4 linked regions of the Yarrowia lipolytica genome follow. The protein of the gene in region 1 interacts with the protein of each later gene in a pairwise test. Links are inferred from orthologs where the notes say so. Each region holds a gene or a part of one and is shown on either strand. Other genes may lie near its edges. The genes, in order: YALI1_D16981g, YALI1_F24079g, YALI1_C10860g and YALI1_E04060g.

Region 1 (7,428 bases):
AAGGCGCCCCGAACAACCAACTCCCATTCCTCTGACCCGCACACAGCCTTCCCCCCTCAGACACAAGAAGGGGTACGGAGAGGACCCTTCAAACCCCCTCCCATGCCCATTGCTCCTCGCCCCCCGAGAAGAGCCACTTGTGCAACTCCACATTCGTTCGTCCCGTAATAACTAAACGTTAGTGTTTAGGTTGACCTGCTTAGCCTCAATTTTCAATTTTATAGCAACACTAACAAGCGGAGAAGGACAGCTGTGGGGGCATCTTGGGAGGAGTTGCGGGGACGGACGGGATATTGTTGTGGTCCTGTGACTGAGCTGAATTGATTGCCGCTTTCTGATCGCCTTTCCGACTGCTACATCTCGACATGGCCGCGTTTGGAGCAGATTTACAACCCAGAACCATGTGTATACATCATCCTGATCGGGTATACGACGGTCCTAAACAAGCCCAGAGAAGCAACTGTGGAATGACTGTCACGTGGGTGGCGAAATCATCGGTATCTTTGACTCCACATGCCCGACTTATTGTTTGGGGAAGATGTTGGTATGGTACTTGTACGGTACTTGTGCGGTATTGTGCCGACTTGCATGGTATTGTGCCGACTTGCACGGTATTGTACCGACTTGCTGTATCGTGCAAGTACGCTGACCCAACACACACTCGGGTCGTATTCCTCCATTTGAGCCCTTGTATCACCTCTGTCAATCCTCGTGTCAATCTCTTGGTTCACCTGTCTCAAAATGTTTCTATTTATACCCCTAATTGTGATGATCTATGAATATGTCTCACGCTTGTTCCGAAGCGAGCGAAGCAGTTATGAAGCGCTAAAAAAAGCAACGCCGACTCGAGACTGTTGGAGACGGAAAGACGACGCATTAAGACAGTTAATTAAAGCGGCTGCGCTGCTCCACCGGCTGCACAAGGGGCTGAGAGACACGGGGGTCGGTGGCAGCTGAGCAGCAATCTCGGTGAAACATGACCCGATGATGTAGAACTTGTCGAAGCAGTGGGGATCGGTGTATTCGAAGAAAGACGGTTACCTTTCGTGAACATCATGAACGTACTTGTAGCGGAGCCTCAGACGTGCCATGGGGTGTTTTAGAGTATTTTAACTAATTATTCCGATTTTTTCCACAATCAAAATAAATCAGATAAATTGAAAAAAAATGGGAAAAAAATGAAAGAAAAAAAAACCCAAGATTGACAGAAAAACTGGACTGCTCAATCCATCACCTCAAACTCTTGTCCATGCTCCAACCCCACATCAAACCCACTCGTTCCACCAACCCAACGATCTTCTACGGAGGTGCATTATCTCTGCATGAGTGATGCGACTACATTCGTCCATCGTCAGATATCGTGGACACCGCCAGCAACTCCATAGTCACCTGGCAAGTCCCGAAAAGACATCCCTTGTCATTAATTTGTCTTGTCTTTTTGTTAGAAGGCATTATTTGTTACATGTACCTACACTATGTGCTCCAGTATGTAATTCTTGGAAAGGAGGGCAACTGGATGAGCATCCAGAAGAGTATACAAGTATATACGACCCGTGGACTCGCACAGACTTCATCATATCATTCGAGCAGTTCCATTTCTCGTTAAAATAGTCCCATACTTCCTAACATATCAACTACTTGTAGAATGGACACACCTTGAATCGACTTTCAATGTCATCATGTCTCAAGTGTGTTCTTGCTCGTGGTATCAGATCATTCTGTCATCTTCCTTGAGTCTGAAGCTGTTAGGGACATATCCATTCACTCTAGACACATACTTGTTCTAGAGCTCCATATCCTACCAACTCCTACACTACCAAAACCAATGCATACATATCTCATTACTATTAAATGCCCGTTCAAGTGCAGTTCCGTGATGGCGGTGAAATCATAATTCAGGCTCACCACCAAGGCCAGATCACAAACAACCTGGCTTCGCTTCGCTCGCTGCGGTTACGCATTCAACTGAACATAATTTCCAGGAAACACTCCCTGGTGTCCCCCGACAATACCCGTCCACCAACCGTTGGTGTCAGCGGTTCGCTGAACAATGGTGATGACCTGTCCGGCGGAAAACGACAGGTCGCCAGCAGCCTGCGCCTCGTAGTCGTACAGGGCGGTGCAGGTTTCAGCTGCGGGAGCGGCGGCTGCAGGAGCCCCGGGAGGCGTGTACACGGCCTTTTCGTTGGGGTAGCCGGTGGCGGTGTACGCGGCGGGAGCGGCAGCGGCAGCTGCAGCAGGGTCGGCGGCCTCCTCGCCTCCATAAGCGGGCGGCGCAGCACCGGCGACGGGGGCAGCTCCTGCAGCGGCCTCCTTATCCTTGTCCTTTGCAAACCGTCGCTTTGTCATTTCGAGCTTGGCACGGGCGTGTCCGACTCGGAACTGGGTGATGGAGAGCTGTTCAGTTCGCTCGGCAACGTCGCCCCGCTTGGCAGCAAAGGCGCCCTCGATGTCCTCGTTGGTGAGGTCAAAGTAGGGAATCTTCATTTCCTCCATGCGGATGTAGAGGGTGTAGAAGACGTTGAGCTGCATGTAGTAGAAGGACTGGAAGAGAGGAGCGATGAACTGGGCCTCCAGCTCAAACAGCTGCGGCAGCTCCTCCTTGAGCATGTCGTTGTAGTAGTCGTACTCCTGCTGGGCGATTTCGACGGCTGACTCGGCCGAGTACATCTTCTTCTCGTCGTTGACGCTTCGTTCCTTCTTATCCTGGTACTTTTTCAGCGAGTTGTTGTGTCGGTCGAGATCCAGCTGTTTGTGGGCACGCTTTGTGGCCATCTTTCGAATCGAGTTGATCACCTCCAGCAGCTCGTTGGCGGGGCCAATGATTCGCGAATCGATCATCTCCAGCTCGGGCTTGAGCGTTGCCTGCAGATCGTTGACCACCTCACGGTACTGCTCGCATGCACTGATACCTTCGGGGTTGCCCTCGGGAATGGCTCCGTTGGGGTCCGACAGCCGTCCAGAAATGGGCTTGTAGATCTCCTCAATCGCCTTGGAGAACTGGATCTGGTGCTCCAGCATGCCGTTGATCGCGTCAAAGTACTTTTTCGACTCCTCGTGCAGCTTCTTGGTCTCCTTCTCGAGCTCCTTGAACCGCCTCTCGGCGTCAATGTAGACCAGATCCTTGGTCTGCTCCCCAATATTGAACTTGGCCTTGAACGACTGAGGCGCTCGGGCGATGCCCTTGGTGATTCCTTTCATAGACATGGCGCAAACAGGTCACCACACGTGGCGTGGAGTGGGTGGGATAATGTAGTGTGTGTTGCTACTCACTGTGTTTAGACCAGCTTGCGTGACGCACCAACCTGTGCTCCAAATGTCTCAGCCGGGTAACCTTTGCGGAGGTGGTGAACCGGCACCGGTGGCAACAAAGCACACACAAAACGGCCCAAAACAAAGACGACAGATATCGTTGCTGTCGTCGCACGCGCCGCTTTTTTTTTTTGCTATTTTTTCTCCACCCAAAAAAAGCCCGCTATCGTCCTGCTAATGCTCTTAGTGTCGTGCTAGTGGTGGTGATGTACAGTATGTATGGTAAGATGACAGTTGGGTATCGTGCGTGCAAGTCGTATTGCGTCACAAGAGGAGACGAAACACCAAGCAGTGGTATCACGTGACGCCTTCCCGTCTGGGATATAAGTCGTCCAAATGCCGACTTTGAGTAGCCGCACGACTTGTATCACTCTCCGTCTATAGATACCGCTAGCTATCCGCTCCAGCATCATACTCCACCAGATAACAGCTTAATCAAACTCTGCAATTATACGTGAGACAGTGATGCCGCATGTAAGAATGAGTGCATGGCACGATGGCTGAGCGGAGCAAAGTGGGCCGGGTTTTTCGGCTTTTCGGCGACTAAAAAAGCCGGTGTTGCTGGTCCTGGTCATCAAGCACCGTTGACGGCTCCAACAATCGCCCTTGGTTGCCCCCAAGACTCCAACGGGGGACCATCAGGGCCCCACTTATGCACCGCATCACCTTGTCTTAAACAAGACATGTGCCACAATCGCATCGGAATGAAGCGACGAGTAATGGTCTGAGAAGGAAAATGAAAATACCGAAAAGATGGATACATTCTGCTCGTTATTTTCCTCAATTTTCTCCATTTTTTCCTATTTTTCCCCGTCTTTCCACACGCGTTTTTCAGTCCCCATCGCTTATCATTGACATTCTCAGCCCCATCCTAAACACTAATCTTCCGCCCTATTGGTCTTGGCAACGGACAAGAGATACAAGTGTAGGGTGGATATTTGCTTCGTTTTTTGCAAGTGGTTTCGTGGCCGGTTTTGGGTGGTTTTGTGGGCGTTTGTGGCGTTTGTGGCGTTTGTGGGTTGTTGTGTTTTTTTTTTTTTTTTTTTTTTTTTTTTTTTTTTTTTTTTTTTTTTTTTTTTTTTTAATCTATTTTCATTTATTTTATGTTCATTTATTTAATTTTATTTGTCAGTTTTTTCTTCAATGTTTTATGGTCTTCATCGATTTTGCACACTACTCCGCACATTCTTACAATTCAACCAATCAGACACGTCCATACTGATACTGAGCTCATGTCGACGCGTCCGACACCAAACACCGCCCCCAAAAACTCACCAAAACCCCCAGTATGTCTCGCAAAACTTTCCCTTAACTAATACCTCAATTATGGTTCCACTAGCACCAATTATCGAGACATATATGGAGGGATGTTTCCGAAACGACCATTTTTGAGATAACGTGACCGTAAGGAGTTTGGAGAATATCCGTTAGTTTTTGCCGAATTTTCTCATACTAATATTGTATTTATGTGGTTTTTATTGATTTATTGGGTATTTTGTTTTTTATTGAACCGCTCTCAAACATACACTGTAATTAGAAGCAGCACAAAATACACAGAAATCATCATACAGAACTCCAAGACTCCCACAAATCCCAGAAAATCTCAAAAAATAACTATACACCAGAAACAGCCGGAAACCACCTCCGAAACAACCACAAAACCAACCCGAAACCCCGACACTACCTGCTTCTACCCTAACCCCAGTGATACATATGCAAAGTATGGTGGGGTGGGATGCATTTGGATCATCATCATGGGAGTCAGCGATGGAGGTGGTACAAGTACTGCGAAAGATGACCTGTTGAGCGGCAATGATGTATACGATGGTTACGATCGATACGACAACCTATACGACGAACAATTCGACTCCCAATACGACAATGCCAACGATGATATACCTATGGACGTGTTAATCCCTCTACTCATCTCTCTATGGGGGCTTATGTCTTTGTGTCTGTGTATCTACACACACAAGTTCATCTGGCGGTCTCCTGCCGTGTCCAAGTTGTGCATGTATGTGGTTTTGTGTTCGCTGGTCATGTTTTTTGCCACCATCATTGCTTTCAAGCCTGCCCATGAAAACGACGGCTGGTACTATGGCCCGGACAGCAATTGGAGGAGGTTCAATCGGAGGAGTTATGAGCGATGGAGGAGGGACAATGGCGATGTTGAATTGACGTGGGGGGCTTACAAGGGGTGAGGGGGCTGTCGATGATGGCAATGGGAAGAGCGGTCGATGAGGCGAGTGAGAAGCGTTCTACGAAAGTTTTCCGGAGCTATAAACTGAGGGTACTGCCTGAGCACTTACAATCTGATATCTTTTCATTGTTCTAAAGTCTCATTTCTACAAGTGCTCGGCCACCTCTTGTCATGAGCCATAGGGACCTCGTGATATCAGATGATGTTTTCAATCACCATTGACTTGCTGATTCAATGCTGGGTTTTCCGCTTTTGAATTACGGTACGGGAGCACAGTACGGAGTATCAATTGCTTTGTTAGTCTGCAGTGGTGGTTCAGATATCTCAATCGGGGCTCCAGTTCGCAGGAATCACAATAGGTGCTCCTACTCATTCAGTCTCATGTATGGAGCTTACAACGTTTCTTCAACATCCAACCCCACTTCTGGTGGTTCTATGGCCTTGGGGAGAAGTCCCTGCTGTCAACTGACTTGAACCGTTGTCTCTTCTCTCAAACATGCTTCAGGTGCAAATGGCAATCTAGAGCACACTGGTCGTTGTGACTCTGCTCGAGCTGGCTGGATATACTATTCTAGAGAGTGATACAGTCATGACTTTGTTCAGAAGCAAGATGGGTCCATGAATCCATGAGTCCATGACCACCGCAATGCACCGACCGCTTCCAAGAAACAGACTTCTGTGTTATCGCTGGTCTTTCGGTGTATTACCAGATCGTTCTGTACTCCTTCCAATCCAGCCTGTCTGCCGATAACCGATGCCTGCTGCGTGACGTGTACGCCCTGGCGTGCAACCTGGAAGCTCGCAGACGTGCTTCAGAGAACCTTTCCCCGTCAACCTTTTGAAGGTCGGCCAAGAAGAACCACGAGTCTGGTACTCAAGGCAGTCAGTCCAACAACGGTGGCTCGTACGATTACCATTACGGCTCTGGTTACAGCATCTTTACTACCCAACTCAAGTAGTTACGTGATTGTCCAGTATTTCATTACGTCTGGCCTTCAAAGAATCTCTACTTCCAGTACTGTACTGTACTTGTACAAGTATCTACAGTATGGGTATCATAAAAGTCCAAGTACATGTGAGTACAAACGCGATTATAGAAGGTCCGTGGAACTTCTTTAGAATACGAGTACTTGTACAAGCAGTTATATGTTGCTATACCCATCCAAAATACATCTCACAAGTGTGTGTACTTGTAACTACAAGTATAATGAACATTGCTAAGACCCAAACGAACAGTTTGATCATAACATCAGTTATCAATCTACAAGTTCTTATGTACAAGTACTTGCAGTTGTATAGGTGCTGGCAATGAAGGTGACTGTCCACCAGCAACACCAGATTGGGAACCCGACAGTTGCGATATTGAAGCTCCACGGCTGGCTTTTACATGTTCCGAAGTCTCCGATGCTCCATCTTCAGAAAAAGAGGTCTTAGCACTACCGTAAAGTACCTCCTCTGGAGTATATACAACACATGCTGTACCTTGAAAAGTACATACTGTACCCCTATACAGCTTGAAGAGACAGTTGTGATACATCAATTGATTTGGAGTGGATTGCTGGCATTCGTCTCGTTTCGTTTACTTAGCTAACCACATTTACTCAAACATCGCTCCTTGGTCCAGACGTCTACAGTAGTCTTTTTGGACTGTCCAAGCGGACCCTCAAAAGTACATAGGACGCTCAAAAGTAGGACTATTTAAAATATGAAACTCATATACCACAATGTATACGATAGTGAATGATCTATGCTTGGGCAATTCTAGTCACGTGTCAAGTCCATGTCACGTGCCCAGTGGAACAGAGCGTCACCATACTTGTACTGTGTTAGAGATACAACAATGAACCGCTACCAAAACAACAGCTGTTCAGCTTTCAAAGTGCAAGTATTTTTCATAGAACCATCGTCTCTTTGGT
Region 2 (7,948 bases), on another chromosome or scaffold:
TTTGGAGGGTAAGTCTTGTCTGGTTGAGACTTCGGGCCTACTTTGCATGCAGTTGCCGGGTCTCGTAGCTGCAGCTGGTTATTCCGTTGCTATGTTTCTGACAACTATATATAGATGGCGATCTCTCTCTCTAGAATGGCATACTCGATACGTCGTTCGCCATGTCTTCCTATCCATCCGAGAAGGGCGGTACCGAGGGGATCGACAGGGTCCCCAGCGAGACTAACGACGCTTCAGACAACACTTCCGATAACAACGGTCTCCATGAGAAGCCCTCCAACGAGCACGCCGAAGGGCTACCTCCTGGGAACGCTCTGAACGCTGATCTCGACCCCGAAAACCCGCTGTCTCGATACACCCGCGATGAGCTGCTGGAAATCGCGTCTGGGTTTGCTAAGGAAAACGGAATGGGCGACAAGGAGGACATTTTCCGAAAGGGCGCTCTAGTGGCCCAAGACCCGGCCAACTTTGACAACATTGACATTCTCGACGACAATGACCGATACTGGCTGAGACGAGAAATCACCCACAAGTGGGACCACCCCATGAAGGTCTACTACATTGTCATCTGCTGCTCTTTGGCTGCGGCCGTCCAGGGTATGGACGAGACTGTCATCAACGGAGCCAACATCATCTTCCCTGCTCAGTTTGGCATCAAGGAGGAGGCCGGTGTGGTGTCTCAGAAGACCTGGCTTCTTGGTCTGGTCAACTCGGCCCCCTACCTCTGTTGTGCCGTGGTTTCCTGTTGGCTCACCGACCCCATTAATAGACTGCTGGGCCGAAAATGGACCATTTTCTGGACCTGTTTCTGGTCTGGAGCTACGTGCTTCTGGTCCGGTTTCGTCAACAACTGGTGGCACCTGTTCATTGCCCGATTCTTCCTTGGATTCGGTATTGGACCCAAGTCTGCCACTGTTCCCGTCTACGCCGCCGAATGCGCTCCCCCCACCATTCGAGGAGCCATGGTCATGATGTGGCAGATGTGGACCGCCTTTGGAATCATGATGGGATACGTCATGGACCTGGCCTTCTACTATGTGCCTGATCACGGCATTGAGGGTCTCAACTGGCGTCTGATGCTGGGCTCTGCTCTGATCCCTGCCCTGCTCGTCTGTGTCCAGGTCATTTGGTGTCCCGAGTCTCCTAGATGGCACCTTGCTCGAGGAGAAATCTCCAAGGCCTACGAGTGCATGCGAGTCATTCGAAACTCGGAAGTCCAGGCCGCTCGCGACCTGTTTTACGCACACGTGCTGCTGCTTGAAGAGGAGGAGCTGAAGCGCGGCAAGAACCGATTTTTCGAGCTCTTTACCGTGCCTCGAAACCGACGAGCTTCCTGGGCCTCCTTCATCGTCATGTTCATGCAGCAGTTCTGCGGTATTAACGTGATTGCCTACTACTCGTCCAACATTTTCATGGAGTCCGGTTTCGGCGAAATCCAGGCTCTTCTTGCCTCCTTTGGTTTCGGCGCCATCAACTTTGTGTTTGCACTTCCAGCTGTTTACACCATTGATACGTTTGGTCGACGAGCGCTTCTGTTAGTTACCTTCCCGCTCATGGCCATCTTCTTGCTATTTGCAGGCTTTTGTTTCTGGATCGACCAGGACGACCCCACCAACTCCCCAGCTCGAGTCGGTTGTATTGCTCTGGGTATTTATCTCTTCTCAGCCGTCTACTCTTGCGGAGAGGGTCCAGTTCCCTTCACCTACTCTGCCGAGGCCTTCCCTCTCTACATTCGAGATCTAGGTATGTCCTTTGCTACTGCCACCTGTTGGCTCTTCAACTTTGTGCTGGCTGTCACCTGGCCTTCTCTTCTAGCTGCCTTCACTCCACAGGGAGCCTTTGGATGGTACGCTGCCTGGAACGTGGTTGGTTTCTTCCTCGTGCTCTGTTTCTTGCCTGAAACCAAGAACCTGACTCTTGAGGAGCTGGACAAGGTCTTTGGTGTGCCCACTCGAGTGCACATGAAGTACCAGTTCAACGCTTTCAAGGTGAATATCCAGCGACACCTCTTCCGACAGGACATTCCCAAGCCCCCTCCTCTCTACGCCCACGAGGTTGGAGTTGGCGGCACTTCTCACTACCAGCACAAGCCCCACCACACCGCCAACCTCACTCCCCTTCACACGGCGGAGCTTGCTTAAATTATTCTGTGTTACTCATTTAGTTAATTGTATTCATTTTACCGGCAAGTCCAAGTACTGTGCTGTGCTTATAGACGTCCGTTTGTATCGTATGGCATAGTCGTATCTTGGTCAGTGATCAGTAGCAATATGCAGCTCAAACTCTTGGGGGGTAGAGAAGTCCAGAGGACAGTGAGGACACTTCATTCGAGGATGCTTGGGACGTGTGGACTGGCGAGGAGACATTCGGGAGAGATGACGCGCAACATACGACTCCCCAGACCTATATAAATACACACCCACACATACACAAACAAAAGGAGCTACTGCTGGTAGCCCCTTGCTAGGTCAGCTGCATGGTATGTACTGTACCCCACATTTTGTTGATATGCGCATCTTTTGGCGGGATGGTGTTTAATCTCAGATTTTAGCCTTGTGATGTCACAGGCACGTTAGATTGCCAACTAATACAAGCCGTAAACAAAGAAAAGACCGCGTTCATGGAATCGACTAGCTACAAGTAGTTGCTCATGTAAACACATGTAGCAAGCAGGAGCCCAAGAAGGGACTCCTAAGAGGAGACAGATCCCTCAATTGAGGGCATCGAGTGTTCGCATACCTGTATACTGTTGTCCATGTGCGTTGGGCGGTAGCAGTACAACACAATCAGGCACATGTAGCTAACTACTTGTACTAGTATATCACATCCTTGCACTTGCCTTTTAAATATAATATTGCTTGGTTATGTTACGTAGCTAGCTATTCCTGGGGCATGGCATCCAAAAGCTTGCGCATGTCGCCCCATTTGGATTTGAGATTGGTGTGCTGGGCATCAAGCTCGCCATGCTTTCCCCGAATCTCGTCGAGCTCCTGCTTCATCTCCGTCATTTGCGACTGCAGCTGCTCATTCTCAGCAACCAGACGCTCGTTGTCCTGTCTGAGATCCATCAGAGCCTCAAGATCCTCGTCACCAGTGATTCGTCTCATCTCGCTCACCTGCATGTTCAGAGTCTCATTCTCGTCTTGCAGAGATGCAAGCTTGACCTTGCCCTGTACCATTTCGTTAGCAACCTCAATATGCTCCTTCTCGAGAGCCACCAGAGTCGACTCGATTCGTCGCACCTGCAGAGTCAGTTGACCGTTGGCAAGTCGCAGAGCCTCAACCTCCTCCAATCGCTCCCGCTCAAGACGGTTGATCTCGAGATACTCCTCCTGGTACTTGTGTAGCAACAGAGGGTGTATTTTCACGTCCATGGCATCCCGCACAAACTCGTTGACTCGGAACACATCTCCAGCCCCCTCTCTATAGACGTCGAAAATAGACTCCTTGAGGAAGGGCAGCAGATGGTCGAATTTGAGAGCCAAAATTGTGTCGGCGTTCTTCCGGATCAAAGCCACTCCAAATTTGAGAATGGCCTCGATACCCTCGGTCATGATGATGTCAAAGATTCGTAGCACCATTGATAGAGGGAACTTGTATGCAAACAGCGTAAGGAACCACTGAGAGGCGTACATGGACGACTTGACTCCCTGGCGGGTCAAATGGATATGCACAGACGGGACCTGGTCTTCCAACAGCCTGTCAAACTGGTACAGCTTCAGATGCAGTCCGGGCATTTCCTGCAGGAACATTGTTCTGAGCTCGTAGTCCTTGAGCAGCCGCACTAGCAGGCAGAAAGCGTCCACCTCGTTGAGGGTCAGCAGCAGAGGGGTCGTGACAAACGCCATGCCCTGTGTGTATCCCACCTCGGGGTCAAACAGACTGTATGCCTTGATGACGTTGTATAGAGAGTCGGGAGAGGTCTCCATGACAAACGACGTTCGAGACAGATCTCGTCGGATGGCCTTCTCGTGGGGAGTGCTCTCCTTGAGGATTTCAGTGTAGAAGTCTTGCAGAGCAGCGTTCTTAGAGCTTGTGATAATCTGCCAGATGATAGACCGTAATTCTGTGGGGAATCCGGCGCTAATAGCCTCCTTGAGCTGTTTAGGGTGCTCCTTAGCCACGGTTGCGTAGTCCTCAATGACCCGACTCCAAAAGTCCCAGTCAATGAAGGGATTTTCCAGCGACTCCTTCTGTCGCAACTGTCGGAAGTCCTCCTGCAGTAGCTCGCCAGCCTGCAACACCGCCTGTCGCTCCCGTTCCTCCTTTTCACTCAGGCTGTCCTGGTTCTGTTGCATTCGGCTGTACATGAGACCGTAGCCCTCGGCCACAATCTTCTCATCGACCTTGGCGGGCTGGGCGTTGGCACGGTGGCTGTTGGCCAGTGCCGTGATGTTGTCCTCGCTCTTGAGACTGGTCTGGCTCTTGTTGCCCAGGAACCACGAGAAGGCTGACCGCTTTCGTGGTGGCAGACTGGGAGCTCCCTGCCGAGGAGGAAGTGTGGGGGGAGTTTCTCCTCGAGCAGAGGCTGCTCCACCGTCGCCGTGGGTGGCGGGCCGATGGGGTAGCGGAGGAGGAGGAGCCGATGATACGGGTGAGGGGGTCTGGTCATATGTGGCATCGGGGAAAGTGCCAGGTGTTAGCGATTCTCCGTCGGAGTTGAGAACGTTAGCAGAGGGCGACGTGGCCGAGGGCGTGGTGGTGGAGTCCTCATCTGCCCCCGCAGCTCCAGGGAAAGATCCAGGTGTCACTTTCAGTGACGTGGGCGAAGTTGGCTTGGGAGTGGCGGGAAGTTCATCGTCGTCGGCTTTGGCAGTGCCAATGGAGATGGTCGATGTGTTTCCAGCAACTTCTTCGGCTGCTGCACTAGTAGGGGCATCCTCTGAGCCCAAAAGAACATCTTCAGTGTCCTCGTATCTGTGGTCGTCTTCAGATTCCGTTTCGGATACAAGTTCAGGTTTCTGGGTTAGTGTGTGAAGTCAGAGGCTCGGTGGCGAGAGGCGGACCTTCGGGGGCGTGCGCAATTGCGTTGGCTGCGCCTGTTTGTGTTCCTTACTCACTTCACTCATGGTCGGGGGGTGGTGTGCGGTGTGCTCCGTCTTTGTAGTGAGGTTGATGGTACCTCCTGCATGGTCACGCTGGACAGTGTGAGTCCCGTTGCCTGAGGGATTACCCAAACCTTAATTTATTGTCTCAGGTGCGGTGATGGTGGTATCCTATGTACCAGCCGGTGAAGTTCGGAGATGGAGTCCCAAACTGAACAGACTATAGTTGCCCAGACCATGGCAAGGGTGTTAAGTCCGAGTGCGACTAATTGAATTGGTCGGAAATTGATTTATTTCGCGTGTCGAAGATAAAGGCGGTGTACTTGTAATTGCTTGCTGTTAAACCAGAGGTTCAGGTACAAGTTCAGGGACCTTGTTTGGTGATACTTGCTTAAAAAAAAAAACTCGTGATTCCAATCGCTCACTAATGACACACCAGACGTGTGATTTGTGGCAATGGGTCGGTGACATAAAGTGCTAAATTATCTTGGACCAAAAAGACGGTACCCACATTAGCTCCAGTTAATTTCTGTACAGTCTTTTACATTCAGATACCTGAATGGCGCACAGTATGTTCCGAGTGTGAAGCTGCGGAGATAAGTTAATACGGTCCATCAGCGATAGAAGAACTGTATGTACTGTATGTACTGTACCGGTGATGACAGTATATGGCTGAGACTACTGCACTACAGTATCGATTAAATCATTCGTAATCCTTTCATTAGTTAATAAATACTGACAATCTCAACAGAAGAGTCCATGTGAGTGTTCTCCTGGGAGCTTTCATTGCTCAGAGAGTAAGAAGAAGCACTGGACGGGGACTCGGACAGCGAGGGAGGTGTCGAACACAGGTCCGAAACAGAAATGGCCTCAGTTCGAGCCTGCACAGCAGGCTGCAGACGAGAGCCCTCCAGAAACTCGTTCCAGTTGGTTTCCACGACGCTGGCAGACATGAGCGACTCGGAAGAAGAGTCACTGGACTCCTCCTCGGTGATGACTCCTCGGGTCACGCCAATGTCCTTGAGCATAATGTTGACCTTTTCAGCATCAGCATTAGGAAAGTGAACACGAACGTTGTTTTTGTTGACAGTTACGGGCAGCTCTCCAAGAGAGGCGCACACTGTCTTGATGTCTTTGAGAAGCACCTTGGTCTCCTGGACAAAGGCCTGCAAGTCTCGCTCCAGTTGGTCCAGGGATTCTGTGGTCAGCTGTTCCGCCTCCAGAGAGAGCTGGGGAGCAAAGTTGAAGTCCACAAATGTGCCTGTGGAAGTAGGCTCCAGACAGGCGACCCAGGAAGAAGACTGGAAGAGGGACTCTTCCTCGGTGACAGACTCAACCTCGACGGGAAGAAAATATCGGGGGAAGTACTCCTGGGCAGCGGAGCACAGATCTAGCTCCCGCACTCTCAGCTGGGAGGTGACCTCCACGATGCTCTTTCCTCCAAAGGCCGTCTTTTGTAGCTTATGGATGCCCTTACAGGGCATGGCCATTGTAGCGTACAATCTTCGGCCGAAGTTGCATGTAGTATCTTTGCGTTCGAACGCCGAACTAAAGGCTCTTCGAATCGCGTAGCCTGCCAGGGGGTAGGTGATTCGCCTTCGGCAGCCCGGTGCTCGCTGGTAGTTGTAGCCGTTCTCGAATACACGGCTAATGTGACGCGCACAATTGTTTGAGCTGAAGTGTCGGGTGTGCATTCGACGGGCATGTTGGCGATGTTTGCTGAACATGTCAAACTTCTGACGGAACGTCAATGGACGGCCAGCCCGGGCATAGGACAGCACCTCACGATGTGCCTGGAGTCGGGCCTCACATCTCAGTGAGATGTTGAAAGCCAGGCTCTCGTACGTCTCGTGGACGGTGCGGGAAAAGTCCCGGGTGACGTCGCGAGTAAATCGGACGAGATTCTTGAAAAATGGCATGGCCAACAGACTGTGGTGCCGTTATCCACCTATGGCACGGTGTACAGGGTGGTTGGGTTTATCTGTAAATATTTCTTGTCGCTTAATATGCGGCCGGGTAACCTGAGCTGGAGTAGATGTGTTAAGCTCTTCGGGACATCGGAGCCGACTTTTCCGACCGCCCGAAACACGACGAAATCTCGTCTTTTTTCCTCGCTCTCGGGCTACTCCGCATTTCCATGTCATTTGCATCGACCAGCGACTTTCCTCTCTCTCATGTACTCTCCAGCTATGGCAGTGCAGCTGGTCCAAGCGGGGACTTGAGAAACCCAAATGTTGGTGGCAAAACAAAACATGCGTCATCGCTTGTTGAAAAGGGTTTCATTCCGCAGGTACTGTACTGTATGATGTACCTGGTGCATGTGAAGAGGATGGGAAAGGGCGTACGAGTACGATGGGGTGTCGACAAGTCGGGGGCCGTGTAGGTGGAGTAATGTAGGATGTCTGTTACACGTACTTGTGCAAGTACACTTTCAACACGTCATTAGTGTGCTCAAGTACCTGTACTTGTATTTGTACTTGTACTGTCGCCATTTTCCAGCCAGGGGGGGTATGCTCAGTCAACTTAGCCATCGTTGCGTGTGGAATAGTTGTACAAGTACAAGTACAAGTAACGGTATACCCACAAAGTTGATCCATGAACGCCCAGATTTCCCCGAAACGAGACACTTGCACATGGACAACACGGAAACACCCCGATACTTGTAGCTCTCCAGCTCTCTCTCCCTCGCGTTTCAGGAACCTCGCGATAGAGGACCTTTGATCAACTAAAAGTCTAACTGGAGCTGTGGTCATAACAGGATCGGAAGCAGCGACCGCTGAGGTCGGAGCCCATGAAAGGGATCGTTTACTGACCCATAATAAAACAATACCAAAATATACAATATATATGCCGCTCTATAATATGAAACATCGTGATGCGTTTTTTAAACACGGATGTGAAAA
Region 3 (6,754 bases), on another chromosome or scaffold:
TGCATGTTCCGGGTCTCTGCCAAAGTTAACTGGACTCACAGACTTCTTTGTTTGGAAGTAATTCCGTAACATATTCGCACTATAGACTCTTTGTCTTGTCAGTGCTCTCCGATCGGGCTATCTACATGTGTCAGTGTGGTGCGTAGTCTCGGTGAATATGATAAACCGAGCATAGATGGACGAACATGAAACCTCCGTGGGAGTTTGGAGAAGTTTCATTGGCCAACAAAATGACCTCATTGCTCATGAGACTTCCCTGGAGCACCATCCCTACTTGTGAAACACGTCTAAAGAAAGCAAGCCCAACCAGACACTGACATGAATCCTCACCATCACTCCGTATTATGGCTTAGTAAGTATGAAAGTACAAAACAATGTTGAAAACGAGCGTTAACCTCAGTTTAAAAAACTCCCTTGTGTCGCCCACTCTCTCTCTTCCCTTTCAGTCCGCGAGCAATCTAGCCCAGTGGTGTGGGCTATAGACCTTCTCGTACCGGTACTAGTCTCTCCCAAAGTTGAGCGTCTTTGCAAAAAACTTCCGTGGAACTCGAGATAATCAGGTGATTTTGAAACACGTGTGTTCAGGTTACTTCCCCTCCGTTGCAGTAGCCTGCTCTATCAGCACAGTAGATCTTGGCTCCCGGCGCTATACGAAAGTTAAACAGGAAGTATTGAAAAGAGAGCATGGTGTGGGGAGAGATTTTGAGGAGTATAGCTGTCAGTAGGACTGTGCACAAATGTCCCTAACACATGACTAAATGGTAATGTCAACTCTTCCTCTACCAAGACCTCTCAGAACACTGGTCTTGTTGCTGTACATACAGCTCAATAACTACTAAGACGAAGAGACTAGAGACCCTCCATGGAACAATCTATACTTCTAGAAGGTAGCTAGAAACTAAAGAAGAGTCCAGTTCTTCAATTGACAAGTCTTTGTGACATACTGCAGTCTCAGAACCGCACCATGTGGTAATTTGGTCCACGCTAAAATTGCTATACGTCCTTGGCCTAGTTATTCGTTCCTATACAAGAACCAGGCTAGCTGTTTCACACACTCTGGGCTAATATTGTCCTCGATATTTGGTTAACCGAAGATTTACTAGATTAACAGTTTACTACATTACGCTGTACCAGTTCTGTACTTGTAGTAAATTCTCTAGCTTATCATGGGCTTGATAGTGGTAAGTGGGGCCAGAAAGAGCTTAGATTACAGCTAAAAGTTCGAATGAGGAATTTTTACAAGACTTGAATGACCAAGAGACCACTCGTGGACCGTATCTTCTGGTTATAGTCTTCTAGTTAGTTCTATTGTGTGCCGCTCTTATCTTCAATCCTGGCTCCAAAGATAGATACGCTAAACATTGTCCAAAGACTGTTAAAAGCACAACAAAGAGAGACATCGATTCGAACAACACCAACGTTCGACTGTGAGTCTTTCTTGGTCTCCTTGTGAACAACATGAAAGTTGCAAATGGCTTGTTAGTAGCAGCTGATCAACCTTTCAACACTGCTAATAACAACCACAGCAAGACGAGCAAAGGAACAACCAGTAGTCCTCGTCTATACCACTCTCTCGGTCAAACACGCTATCCCTTCGACTTCATGCTTATCATATATTCATTATACATACTCGTCCACTCTGCGCTTCCAAACGCATGGGTTAGCGAAAACCGTCTTGCCGGCCAACAGCCTACCAGACCATGGCACACTCACTACAAGCAGATGAGTTTGCTCAATAGGCCCGCTCATTCATTGTATGAATTCGATGAGCCTATTTAGTTCCCAAACTAGTAATGCTCAACTCTCTCATGTTCTGCAGTAGATCCTCCACCTTGGCGTCCAACTGGCCGTTAGCGTATTCCTCTCGACTGCTGGCGTCCAGATACTGCTGCACCTGCGCCAGACGGGTATACGACTCTGTACAGAATCGCAGCTGGATCTTGACGAGAGCCTCGAACGAGGGATCCAGGTAAGGAACCCGCAGGTCGATCAGCTGGGGCAGCTCCTCAATCAGCTGGTTGTTGATCTGAGAGTACATTTCCTTGGCCATCTGCTCTTCCTTCTCTGCCTGAGGAAGACGCGCGGCATCGTTGCTGGGCTTTTCAATCAACTTCTTGGTCTTGTGTCTCAGAGCATCGTAGTCCATCAGCTTGTGGTTTCGCTTTTTGATGGCCTCGTTAATGTCAGTGAAGTAAGCACAAAATCGCGTGATGGGATCCAGCACCGTCTCTCGGTAGGGGCCATCCAGAGCCTTGACGGTCTCGGCATCCAGTTCCTGGACAGCCTGCAAGTAGTACTTGGAAATGCCGTCCCGGGTGCCAGCGTCGCCGTAAAACGCATCAATGGTCTCTGCGATTCGCGTCTGCGACGACGTCATGGCTCGCAGCGAGTCCAGAAAGCCCTTGGCCTCCTTGTTCAGCTTGGTGGACGCCGTCTCCATGGTTCGATATCGACGCTCCTCGGTCTCGAACTCCCGGTCCACCGTCTTCTCCACGTGGCCCGTCTTCATCATCACCGACGTGCCCGCCCGGTTCATCGCCTTTTTGAATCCATTCCAGCTCATGGTAGTGTTGGTTGTTAGTGTCGTGTATGCCGAGTGTAGTGGTGAGTGGTTTGGAGATAAGGTGGGACTGAGTTAATTAGGGTAGGGGTAGCGCAGCATATGAGCGCACTGGACGTGCACTTTTCAGATGCGAAAATGGAGCTTGAGACGTCGATTTTTCCCACTAACGACTCTAAATCACGTGATTAATCACATGACGCAGTTACCTAAGCAAAATCTTTCTCCAATCACAGATTATGACTGGGGATCAACAAGCCAAGGAGTCCATCTGGCTTATGTTCGTAGGGTTAGGGGAATCTAAATTGGTGGCAATTTGAAATGAGTGACAGGAGGAGGAGGTGGAGATTTCGACTTGTTTTTGGGTGAGAGAGTATAATAGTTAGTGTACCATTAAAATATAGTGCATTTTCTGAATCGTCTGGTGGTCTCTGCTTCCTTGGGGCATGTCTGCAGCTCGAGATAACTACCCACCAGCTGACTTTTAGAGTTTGCAGAAGTATTTTTGGGAGGCGTTTTGGGAGTGCTATCTTCTACAGTCAGGAGGATGAAACTAAGGGCTGAGCAATACTGATCTAAGAGTCGCCAAGAAGCAAGTGGGGTTTCGGAGGACGATATGTTGGCTTAGTAATCAATATTGGAACCCATTCCTGGCGACTTTTGTGGTTTCGGTGGTTTCGTGTCTCCAGACAGTCCTGTTACAAGTACAAGTATGAGCGCTCAATGGACTGTGTATAGACTGATTTCGAGATAATTTGTGAGAGAGTTGAAAAGTGATCCATTTCGACATAAATGAGATGAGGGAAACCAAAATGGTCTTAAAAGGTTCTCCTTTAGATTAGATACTTGTACTTTTACTTGTACACGACGCCAGGGATGGTGGAGCCCTTCAAAGGAGCCCTCAAAAACATATACATGCTGTCAAAAGTGGAGAAGATGAAAAGAAGTATAGAGGTACTGTACTAACAAGTTCTAGACAGATTCTAGGTCGACTTTCTCCGTCCCTGACCAATATGACCCGCTTGTACCCTTGGCCTTGCTTGAAACACCTCGGCTCATATTCAACCACTACGACCCAGCTCGGTAAAAACACCCACATCTCCAGTACAAGCCTGCATTATCGGATCATTGGACGTTCATTTACTTAGTCTCGCAACCCCAGATGGTTAGCTCAGCTACTCAAGCCTAGTGCTTCCCCATGTGGCTCTCCAGACCCTTATATTGTACATAACTGTGCTGCCGGGTAGACTGATTGTCTTATGACACTAACACAATGGAGTCACTATTTCAGGCCGTAGGAAATTGGACCCACAGGGCACAGCCTTGTTGACCCCTGAGGTCGTATCTTGGAAACTCATGCCGGTTTGTCTGTCTTGCACCTGCCCCCTGTTCTGCTCATTCTTTTTGAGAGTTCCGGTTTCAGAAGAGCATCACGTGAGTCAATAACAAGCGACCCTGATTCTCCTTTGGGCTCTTCATCGTCACAAAAGGGCTCTAGCGGCTCCCGTTGTCTGTTTCTCTTTATCCCCACAATTGGTAAACTCCACGCTACTTTAGTTGGTCAACTCAGTTCGGCCTATTTTTTTCTGCATATACAAAGTAACTACAACGATGTAGCTTACTTAGTCTGCTGTGAGTAGACATACGGCGGCTAACTAGACTAGGAACGATTTTTAGCACCTGGAGCTCTCATGTGCATTGGAGGACAGGGAGTCACAAGAAAACGTCAGATCAGGTGATCTGTCACATCCCACTAGCTTCCTTTTATATGCATCGCGTGATATATCATTGCGTCCCTGGGTCCAAGTCGTCTCCATATCATGCTACAACCCTGCAATATGTGTATGTGGAGCTGAGTTGTAACAACCAAGGCAGCTAACTCTAGACTGCCTAGACCCACTAAGTGGAGCACTCTAAATAAGTGCGTTTTGCTCCCGCTAAGATTCCCACTATTTCTCACTAGTTTGAAACTAGCGGTAAGGGACAGATTGTTCGGAGACAGACTTGCGAGAATGGGTCTAACTTTGGATTCAGAAGAGCTATCCTAAATCCGAGTTCGGAGATTGAATTAGTCGAGATGAAATGATCTAGGGAACATCTTTGATAGCCTCCAACGTGACTTTCTCGTCCTCGGACACACGCGTGATCTTTCCCCGATTAGCCTTCTCCACTAACTGAGCCTCATCCTCCGCTAAAAACACGCTAGCAGCTTGTCAATGTGGGCGGCACGCACGGATAGTCTATCCAGGGTCGTAGATGTGGACTCAATGGCAGGCACAGTTGATCAAAGTGATCTGAAAGACAGGAATTGGGTCACGCAAACAGCCACATGTCTACACATCTGGATCGCGAATCACTAACAGACCATCATAGCATGTTTGAAGCCTATAATAGAGGTGCAAGTAGGCAGTTTCCAATCTTTCGAATCTCAGCTTCCACTCCAAACCCCTTCCTCAGGGTAGTATTTCGATCCAACACGCTAAAAGGGCGATTTTTCGCGGTGCAACGGGGGCAGAACTTTAGAAACGCTAGATCGAGGCAACCAAGGGGATGGGTCAGGTTTACGAGGTGACAAAGAGCGGAAGCCGAGATTACAAGTTGCGCAAATAGAAGGCGACTGGTTTTGCAAGAGAAGTAACAAGTGGACAAGCGGAGACATGTTAGAGATGGTCCTATGCTAGTGCGGGCGCAAGTGCACTACAGATACGTGACTGTAGCCTACAGATGAAGGTGTGAATCTAATATGTATGAATTTGTACTAATGATATCATAATAAAAGACTTAAGAGCCGATTATGTCACCATGTTGAACCCTTCATTGATCTCCAGCATTCAAACCTCTCTACATACCCCAAACTTCACTCCTCCAGTACTTCAAACACAGGCAAACCAATACTACGCTGAGAAGCTGAAGCGTATCCAATTTCACGTGACAGGTCGCCGACTTCTCCGACCCTCATAATGCAACTATCACCCTAGGCGCGCCCGGTAGTCTAACAATCGAGCTAGTGGGGGCTAGGGTGGTGGACTGTTGCTGCCCGGGAGATGTCAGCCTGAACAAAGACCAGGCAGGTTTACAAATATTCTGTTACAGTAGGTTACATGTCATAAATCTAAGACAGCAAGAAGGTCTGTCATCAAGGAGACGTCAAGACCTTACAGTACCTACAGGAGTCGCAGGTGTCAGATATCTTGCAGTCACGTAACATCAGCCGAACGACGACGTCATACTACATGCTATTGCCTAGTCTGAACTATGACCCTGCACCTTGAGGTGATGCTGATGCTGGTCTAGCAGATCCTTAGGGTCCTGGCAGTGTTTCAATTGTTTTACCCGTCATGAGCAATGTAGTTGAGTATCGAACAAGACGGATTGGCTTCAAATGACGACTTCCTACCAGAAGGAGTCCATGGAGGAATTATTTTTTAAATCAGATCGGTATTTGACTAGATCTGCGTATGTCTACAAAAGATGACCCATCTCGGATCAAAAACTTCTAGCTTCTAGTTCGGCTAATGGAGGTGACAAAAAGGTGGATTGAAGAGGCTGTGTTATATGACATAAACATATGTCAGGGTCACATTGAAACTCTTTGAAGCTTTGAAACCGATAATATCAACTTCTGGTCGAGCCATGCGTAATTTTCCAGATAAGTCCCTGCTTTATGGGTTTCTTATTTTAGTTGAACTTTACTTGACATTAGTTGACTTCGGCATGCAGAAGGAATCACTAGAGCCGGAAGTCCATAATGAACCAAGTTAGAGATAACACGACTCCGGGTGGAGAATAAGAGCGACTGGAGGGTTGGAGTGGTACTCAAGGGGACTTTGTGGGAGGTCTCTTGTACCGGGCAGGGTGTTCTGTGGTGGTTACTCTAGGTCAGCAGAAGAAGGGCAGTATACTTCACATATAATGACATAGAGAAGCCCAGATTTCGAGATAAAGTTGGTTTTAACCGCCAATTATCTCATCTGATACTCTATATTAGGATCAAAATAGTGATTTGTCATAATATTCTCCCCAAACTACGCATCCAGCTCACTTCTTGCAACAGGAAGCGACTAAGACTCTCGTCTTCACGTAACTGGTTAACCTGGCCCACATTTTATGCGGTTGCAATGTTTCACAGCGGAGCCCCAAAAAAAACGGCCCCGTCTCCTCTTGTTTGCTACACATATCCGGGTCAAGAAGGAC
Region 4 (7,558 bases), on another chromosome or scaffold:
GTATCGCCAGCTGGATCGATTACTTCAAGCAGAAGCGAACCATGGAATACAACAAGGAACAGATGCTGAAGAAGTTTGAGGAACAGGGTGCCGTCAAGGTCGAGCCCAATGTGTCCTTCAAGTAAACACACACTCCACCAACCCCAAGTTTTAAATCATGTACATATTATCTATTCTACTGTGAAGTATTTGTTTGGTCTAGTTGTAACATTGTGTCTCATAAGAGAGGCGCAAATGGATGAATCAGAATCCGAGGTCTTAAGGCTTCCAGATTCGCAGCTGCTTATCGTAGAAACTACAAGTGGCAACGTAATCGCCATTGGGAGACCAATCTCCTCCATATACCATACTATCGTGGCCTGCCTTGTAGTACTTGACGATTGAGCTAGGTTCCTCCTCAGTTGCACCTGCAGCATCAAGGATAAAGGCACCGTTGTACATACAACAAGTGAGTACAGTATCGACGTTCTTGGGGTTGGGAAGCAGTCTCCAGACTCCACCGCCAAGTTCCTGTCTCGAAACTACTGATCGGGTGTTAACAGCAACCATGCCTGTCTTTCGGAGGTCAAGGCAAGCCAGAGTATCATCATACGAGCCTGTCCAGATCTGAGCGCCATGAGACTTTCTCCAGGAAGGCAGAATTGAGGTCACTCCTGCTTGGTGAATTCGGTTGTTGGATATCGTATCGGTAACGCCGTTATTGTAGTCCAGTTCTTGTTCACCGTCTTCATACAGAGGTGTCCGAAGATCCGAAATCATGAGGGCAGCATCGTCTCCACCAGACATGACCAAGTTGGGGAACTCGTCTCCTCCAAAAGACGAAATCCAAGCTTCCAAAGAGTGCTCATGCAGCGAGCGGTCGATCTTGAGCTCGGAGTCTGAGATACGAATGAGAACAACCTCACCGGAAGTTAGAGTGGCTACCATGAGATCATTGAAAGTGGGACTGAACGTGATAGAGAGCACAAGCAGCGACTCATCAAAGAGCTGGTAGGACTTCTGCTGAGTCAGCTCAGAACCGTCCCACCTCCATGTGATGATGTTTCCGGTACTTTGACTGGTGCAGATGAAAGAGTGGTCGAAGGGGCTAATCTTGAGGTCCAAGATTGATGAGTTTGTTCGGCAGCTCTGCTGCAGTTTCAGCTGGTCGTCTTCAAGCTTGTAGACATCGACCGTACCATTTCGACTTCGGTCGTCCTCCAGCTTGTAAGTGGCCACAAAGATGATAGATGCATCATCAGGTTGAATCTGGATGGCACATGGTGGCAGATCGGTGATTGCAGACGTTATAGTGCACTTGTTGCTGTGGTCCTCCATTTAGTGTTCACGGAGGAGAAAAAAAAATAATTAAGGTGCGATTATGCATGAATGCGCTTATAGACCTGCTCACGAAATTGAGAAGGGGATCTACTACTTGTACTTGTAGTAATTTTACGAATGTGCTTTTGTATTGTAGCAGACAAGATGACTGAATCCGGCAAGATAATGAGCTACTCAAAAACGAAAAATTAGGACGGCACCATGTGACTGACTGACATCTCACAGACCATCGCTGGAAAGAGAGACCGTTATTATATACAGCGCCTCTCACATACATCGGCTGTGTCTCTTGTATCGTACAGTAGCCTGTCTAATTAACGTGATTATGTACAGCCCAAGTATCGTACAAGTACACAGATCAGTCAGTTGATCAAGAAAAGGGGCTAACAGGGCCGAGAATGATTGAAGCTACAGTCTTGGTGAGTTCACCCCTTGACTCCTATTTTTTATCATTAGGCTGTTTTACGGGATTCGTATCAAGATGTCATTTGCTGAGACCTATTCCCAATTGTATTATCTCTTCACAGCCCATGAACCTACAGCACCATAACGACACACCCCTGCCTACAGTAAAGGGTAGCTACCGGTAATAAATGGTAAAAATTCATGCTCTCGGCTGTGCAGGCCAGTCTCCATGGCGACAAGAGATCCGCGCTAAAAATACAACTCGTGTTTGATGGTGGATTCAACCCGAATAATGGAGGCAACCACTCGTGACAGCGTCTGAATACCAATGTACATTTTCAAATCTCTCTATAGGACTCACTCTACGAAGGGTTCAGTAACACGATAGACACACGCACTCACGTGTCCAAAGCTTGAATCTTAGGGTTAGGTCAAGTTTATTTGCGGTTTGTTTATGTTTGTGTACATTGGGAATAGGAGACGGGACAGAACGCATCAACACAAACTACACACAAAAATATTACAAATGGTGAGTTCAGAAATGAGAGACTTGTTGCACTCTTTCAAATCATCATGGCACCACTAACAAAGTCGCAAAACTCCAAATCTTTCAAGGACGCCTTTTCCCTGTTCGACAAGAAGGGCACCGGCAAGATTCCTGCTGAAGCTCTCGGTGATCTTCTCAGAGCTGTGGGCCAGAACCCCACCCTCGCTGAGATTGATGATCTGAAGCAGACCATTCCCGCTGAGTGTGAGTATACTACAGATATTTTCAAGCATCTAGGTGATGGGCCGATAATGGAACACGGTGTGGTGTGTGAGACGATGAACCGAAACATGTCACGGTCCAGCGAAATGCAACTGCGATAAATTGGGCGGTTTCAACGTGTTGGGGTATAGATTCGAGGAACCCGTATCACTTATATCGTGATCACAACGTGTTTGGATCTCTCGTGACAGAAACTTGCCCGTCAAGGGATGTTCCGGTGATTGATTCCTTCATTAAGGTCGTTAAACGGTAACCTCGAAGCGATCACATAAGTCTCTATGACGACAGGGGAGATGGGGTATGCCTAGATTCGCTCTTTCACACCTCTACCAGCATAAATCCACCCCCTCCATCAGCACTAACACAGTCGACTACGAGACCTTCTCCAAGATCGTCAACCGACCAAGCGGTTTCAAGTCTCTCGGTGAGCCCGAGGATTACATCCGGGGATTCCAGGTGTTCGACAAGGACTCCACTGGGTTCGTGGGTGTCGGCGAGATGCGATACATCCTTACCTCGCTGGGCGAGAAGATGTCTGATTCCGAGGTTGATGAGCTCCTTAAGGGAGTCAACGTTACTCGAGACGGCAACGTCAACTACGTTGACTTCGTCAAGTCCATTCTGGCCCAGTAGATACCTAATATATTTTTTATGTTTGAGCGATTCCCATCCGTAGCTACTTGTACTGGTGACAATGTCTTTGAAAGTGTCGTATTGTTTTACATAGATCATAACAGTGAAATAAATAGCTTATATATATAAATTAAGCAACCTGTTGCCGAAGTATCTCGTTGGAATATCAACTCAAGATGGGCAGGAAGTTGCCAACAATCATCATGGGGTTGCCAAAGACATCCCGTTTTAGGGTCCAGATACTGGATGTTTTGATTTTAGCACCGGTCGGTGTAAGTAGTGTACAGTCGGCCATAGTAGCTCCTCTTGAGTCTCCAAAAGCGATTCGAGAAAAGAGCTCAAAGTACTCGAGGACAGAATTGTCGTCCAGCAGCTCTACGATGAAGGTCTGCTGACCAATGAGACGCTGTTCAGACCAACCCGAGAGCTGACAGAACTCTTTTCCAACAGCAGCTAGTTGACCAGTACGTCTCCAGACAAGAGTGGGGGTTCCAGAAAACGAAATAAACTTTTGATACTCTAGGAGGGCTCGCTGGAAGCATTGTTCCATGAACACCAGGTCCTCCTCTTTCAGCGAGTTGGTACAGGCAATAAAAGAGGGTCTGTATTCAGCCATATACTTAGTCATCTGGACGAGCTGCTGTTTGTTGAAACGGCCTTTCAGATAAGAAATGAGTCCATGGTATCCAGGAGTGTAGCTGAATGGCTTTGTGATGTTAGTATAGACCTGGATAGGGTCGGTGTAGTCAGGTAAGTTGGAGTAGACAGCTTCCAGAGCACCTGAAGAGAAGATGGACTTGCTTGGCGAGTCTGGAGCTTCACTCCCGTTTCCATTGCCGTTGGTGTTTTGCGGCTGGCCAGCTGCTACAGCAAACGAAAGAGGCCTCAACTTCTCGTCAGTAGTCAGCTCGCTGTCCTTCACATTTCGCCTAGTTTCGTTAAACGCAACAATTTCAGGCACAGTTAAGAAGGTATCATTGACGAACTCTCCAGCCAGTGGGTATTGGTTAAGATCCTTTGCCGACAAACCGTTAGACTCAATGAGTTGTTTGATCTTAGCTGAGGGAGTAGCTGCCTGGGGCGTAGGCTGGTCCTGGTTATGTGGCGAGTGAGTGTTTGGAGACTGAGAGTTGTTTCCGAGCAACAAAGAGTTGCTTACTGCGGAGTTTGGTTGACCAGAAGAGTACACCATGTTTGACAGGATGGAATACTCCATATTAGTAGCCACGGACTGGAACGAGTGTCCCGATAATTGCAGATCCGAGAACCAGTCTGACGAAAAGTCACCTTCTCCAGTTCTTCCCAGGTCTCCTAATTGGTTGATTTCCGTCGCCAGAAGCTGCTGGTGTATAAGGTAGTCTGCAGGAAGTTGTGACGGAGTACTTGACTGGCCTCCCTGTGGTTGTTGGGCACCCTGTCGCTGTGGTCCCTGCAAGTTTGTGTGGGCCATGCCAGGTGTTCCTAGGTTCGGATGTCCATTCTGAGGGGTATTGGGGACGGGCATATTACCCATATGTTGTTGCTGCATGTTCCCCTTCGTATCAGGGAAGCCTGCAGAGCTAGAGCGAGCACTTCGAGTTGCTGGGCTCAGTTTTGGTTGTACGTTCACACCAGGGGCAGGTGACAGGCCTTTACTGGGCTTATTATCCTCCTTGTCGTCCAGATACTTTAGTTTCTTACGCACACCGTCCACACAGGTGTCTGCGAATCCTCGGGCCACACATCTCTCACAGGGTCGGTTGTTATCGCATGTCAGATGGGTTCGTTGGCAGTGGATACACGCTCGGTGGGCCTTTCTTCGCTTCGGCTTGCCCGTCCGTTGCGAAATCACCACGGGTTTCTCCATTGGAGTTGGGTTGGAGCAATCTGTTTTCAGCTGAGAATGGTCGGTTGGAATGTATGACTGCGATGCGTACAAGTCTTTGGGAGCTAGAGCTTGTAGAAGGAGCGTGGTAGGTTGTTTTCAGGGAGCTGACGCGTCGGTCGCAAGATAATAGCGTGGGTCTCTCCTTGGCTGGACAAGTCTGGAATATGAGAAGTTCTAGAGAAATGGGTTCTGACAACCGGAAACCGGGCTGTTTAAGCTAGTGCCGCAGAGATGCGGGTGCAGTGCATATAGCTTGGGGTCGAAAGGATTGATAAGTGGCGATGGGAGTGTTCTAGTTACATGCTTCAAGAGATAGTCAGGAGCCGAAGCTTTAATACATCAGATACAGAGCCCTAATATTTCACAGACTTACACACGTACCAGCTTTTCCCAACGGTGCAACCCCCTGCTCTGTTTTGTTTTTTCTTACTCGGCCTTGGTTTCGTCATTTCTACTTACTTGACCTGCGTATGGCTTTAAGCTCAACGCTACGGAATATGGTTCATGACTAGTGGGGAAGCCGAGTCAGTAGACGTGAATGTTGAGTGGCTTAGTGGGTCGAAGAAGGTGGGCAAAGCTGATTATAACTACTCTGGAGTGATAACAAAACGACTGTGCTATTTCAGACCTCAACTTCACCACATGGTCAACACCAGCAGCACTGTTTGCTTCTGCTAAACGGAGCAAAAGTTTATGCCTACACGAAATTCTATGAGATGTGGGGTGCGGCGGACGACCCCAAATGTTGTGCCATCTGGGTGAAAATCCCGAGAGCGAGTCACTTTTGGACCGGTTTGAAAGCCAACAAAAAGACTCCCCTATGACCAAACCTCGCATTAACGCCCCTCTCTACACGCTACCAGCAAAAAATGGATGCTCTGAGCTCCCCAACGTGAAACTCCGTTTAAACTCGGATGACTGATTTTTCAATGTCCCGGTACCTCCCGAACAATGCATTCTGGAGGCATCTTTAGCCTCGGCCTCTAGAGGGGCAACTGAAAAACGCACATGTTATTTCCGATACATTCCGAGGCTCCTACTTCTCCCGAGCTCCACCGTGCTTTGTTCACGTGCAACTCGTGAGAATCGAAACGTCTGAGGGGGGATGGGAGGCGTCAGGGGATATATCTGTTCAGAATCTTTAAGATAGCTGAAGCCGACACTTTGGCCGTTTAAACTACACTACCCGTAGTGCTCAATTGAGGGTATGATTCGCCTCTTGCTACGCGCTTGCGGTCGAACACCATGTGCAATTAATTACAAGTAGGAAGCCTCGGTCAAGGCTCCGGACAGAGGCAAACAGAGACAAAACAGACATGTTGCTATTGATCGGGGCACGCTGACACGCTTTCAACACTTCCACAAGACTTTCAAACACGAACCTTTGGGTCCGTGAAGCTTTGTACGGCGACGTAGAGTCACAGTATCGTAGCAAGGTCCACTATGACGTAAATGAAGGTCAGTGCGATGTCTGATTCAATGAGTCGTACACAACTGCCCTTGAATAATGTACAATACGGGTAGGGTATGTGTATTTGGTATGAGTACCGGTACGGTACGCTTTGTGGTATGAGATTAGAGAAGTTCAAGTATCATATGTGTCATAGTAGTTTTACGCCTGTCCATTTAGCGCTCCAGTTACTTAATAAAGCTACATAATCAAACAGTGCCAGTACTCGTTCTATCATCGTGGCAGGTTTTGTACCCCGGTACTGTAAATACCATTCTACAAGTAGCTACCGTACTTCTCGGACACCACTATACGATACATTGTAGTACCAGTGAGTGAGTATGTACCGTACAAGTACGCACGATACTGTACGATGTCCCAACTTGAGATGTGAATTGATCTGCTGGGTCTGACTCAAACAAAGCACACTTGCAATGGGTAGAAGCGTTTCTCGTATACAACTTGGACGAGTGAGTCACTCCGAGTGAGAGCCGACAGCGTTTCTGGGTTACCCTCGTCTTGTCGGGCTTACGGATCACCTTGAATGAAATATGCAACAGGGAATGCTTCTATTGTCAACTGAGTAATATAAGTTATTTTCAAAGGGGGTCGAGGAAGTTCCTAGGTCTATACAATCAATCAACACGACTGGGGAGAATTCACTTCCATCCATTAGCCCGACACTACATCTTCCTTCTCTTGCACACTATACTTCAATTCACATTATCGCGATGCACTAACCCTTGTCTCACATGCTTTAGGATCCTGAACATGATTGAGTGTAGTGAAACTGAATCCACGATATTATGTGTTTCCTGTAAAGTGCTTCTATTGGCCAGATATTCTACTGGCACCTATTTGTAGAGTACTGTAATCTAATTAACTACTTGTAGGATGGACTGAATGCTACCCTATTGTAGCTACAGTATTTAAGAGAACAGCCTTTCCTAATGATAGATATGCCCATCACACTCGCATCCCATCGAAATTCCAGAGTAAAGGTAACGCATTTGGAACACCAAACAATAAAGACGATTTTCTCTTTATTTCAACGATAGCCCTGAAGTTTGACTGGCACAATATATACATTGGAATACGATTAGTTTTAGTTGTT

The links.
Region 2: the proteins of YALI1_D16981g (region 1) and YALI1_F24079g interact in binary tests that used the Saccharomyces cerevisiae proteins (3 or more experiments, as listed by UniProt). The link is inferred for Yarrowia lipolytica from reciprocal best matches to the Saccharomyces cerevisiae genes RVS167 and GYP5.
Region 3: the proteins of YALI1_D16981g (region 1) and YALI1_C10860g interact in binary tests that used the Saccharomyces cerevisiae proteins (3 or more experiments, as listed by UniProt). The link is inferred for Yarrowia lipolytica from reciprocal best matches to the Saccharomyces cerevisiae genes RVS167 and RVS161.
Region 4: the proteins of YALI1_D16981g (region 1) and YALI1_E04060g interact in binary tests that used the Saccharomyces cerevisiae proteins (3 or more experiments, as listed by UniProt). The link is inferred for Yarrowia lipolytica from reciprocal best matches to the Saccharomyces cerevisiae genes RVS167 and ERT1.

Annotation. Positions count from the first base shown.
Region 1 is NC_090773.1:1,694,965-1,702,392, forward strand, and holds YALI1_D16981g (uncharacterized protein), read right to left. Parts: upstream 3,208-7,428; coding exon 1,954-3,207; downstream 1-1,953. Other genes in the region: YALI1_D16959g (uncharacterized protein), read right to left, coding at 816-995, 1,053-1,091; YALI1_D16990g (uncharacterized protein), read left to right, coding at 4,049-4,534; YALI1_D16997g (uncharacterized protein), read left to right, coding at 4,779-5,513; YALI1_D17011g (uncharacterized protein), read left to right, coding at 6,147-6,192, 6,249-6,631. UniProt on the Saccharomyces cerevisiae protein: Component of a cytoskeletal structure that is required for the formation of endocytic vesicles at the plasma membrane level.
Region 2 is NC_090775.1:2,403,017-2,410,964, forward strand, and holds YALI1_F24079g (uncharacterized protein), read right to left. Parts: upstream 5,070-7,948; coding exon 5,061-5,069; intron 4,962-5,060; coding exon 2,880-4,961; downstream 1-2,879. Other genes in the region: YALI1_F24031g (uncharacterized protein), read left to right, coding at 162-2,141; YALI1_F24099g (uncharacterized protein), read right to left, coding at 5,771-6,964. UniProt on the Saccharomyces cerevisiae protein: GTPase-activating protein which accelerates the GTP hydrolysis rate of YPT1 and SEC4. Involved in ER to Golgi trafficking and polarized exocytosis.
Region 3 is NC_090772.1:1,083,463-1,090,216, forward strand, and holds YALI1_C10860g (uncharacterized protein), read right to left. Parts: upstream 2,564-6,754; coding exon 1,772-2,563; downstream 1-1,771. UniProt on the Saccharomyces cerevisiae protein: Component of a cytoskeletal structure that is required for the formation of endocytic vesicles at the plasma membrane level.
Region 4 is NC_090774.1:401,057-408,614, forward strand, and holds YALI1_E04060g (uncharacterized protein), read right to left. Parts: upstream 4,974-7,558; coding exon 3,294-4,973; downstream 1-3,293. Other genes in the region: YALI1_E04007g (uncharacterized protein), read left to right, coding at 1-125; YALI1_E04023g (uncharacterized protein), read right to left, coding at 259-1,317; YALI1_E04033g (uncharacterized protein), read left to right, coding at 2,299-2,476, 2,862-3,127. UniProt on the Saccharomyces cerevisiae protein: Transcription factor which regulates nonfermentable carbon utilization. Activator of gluconeogenetic genes like PCK1. Involved in restriction of Ty1 transposition.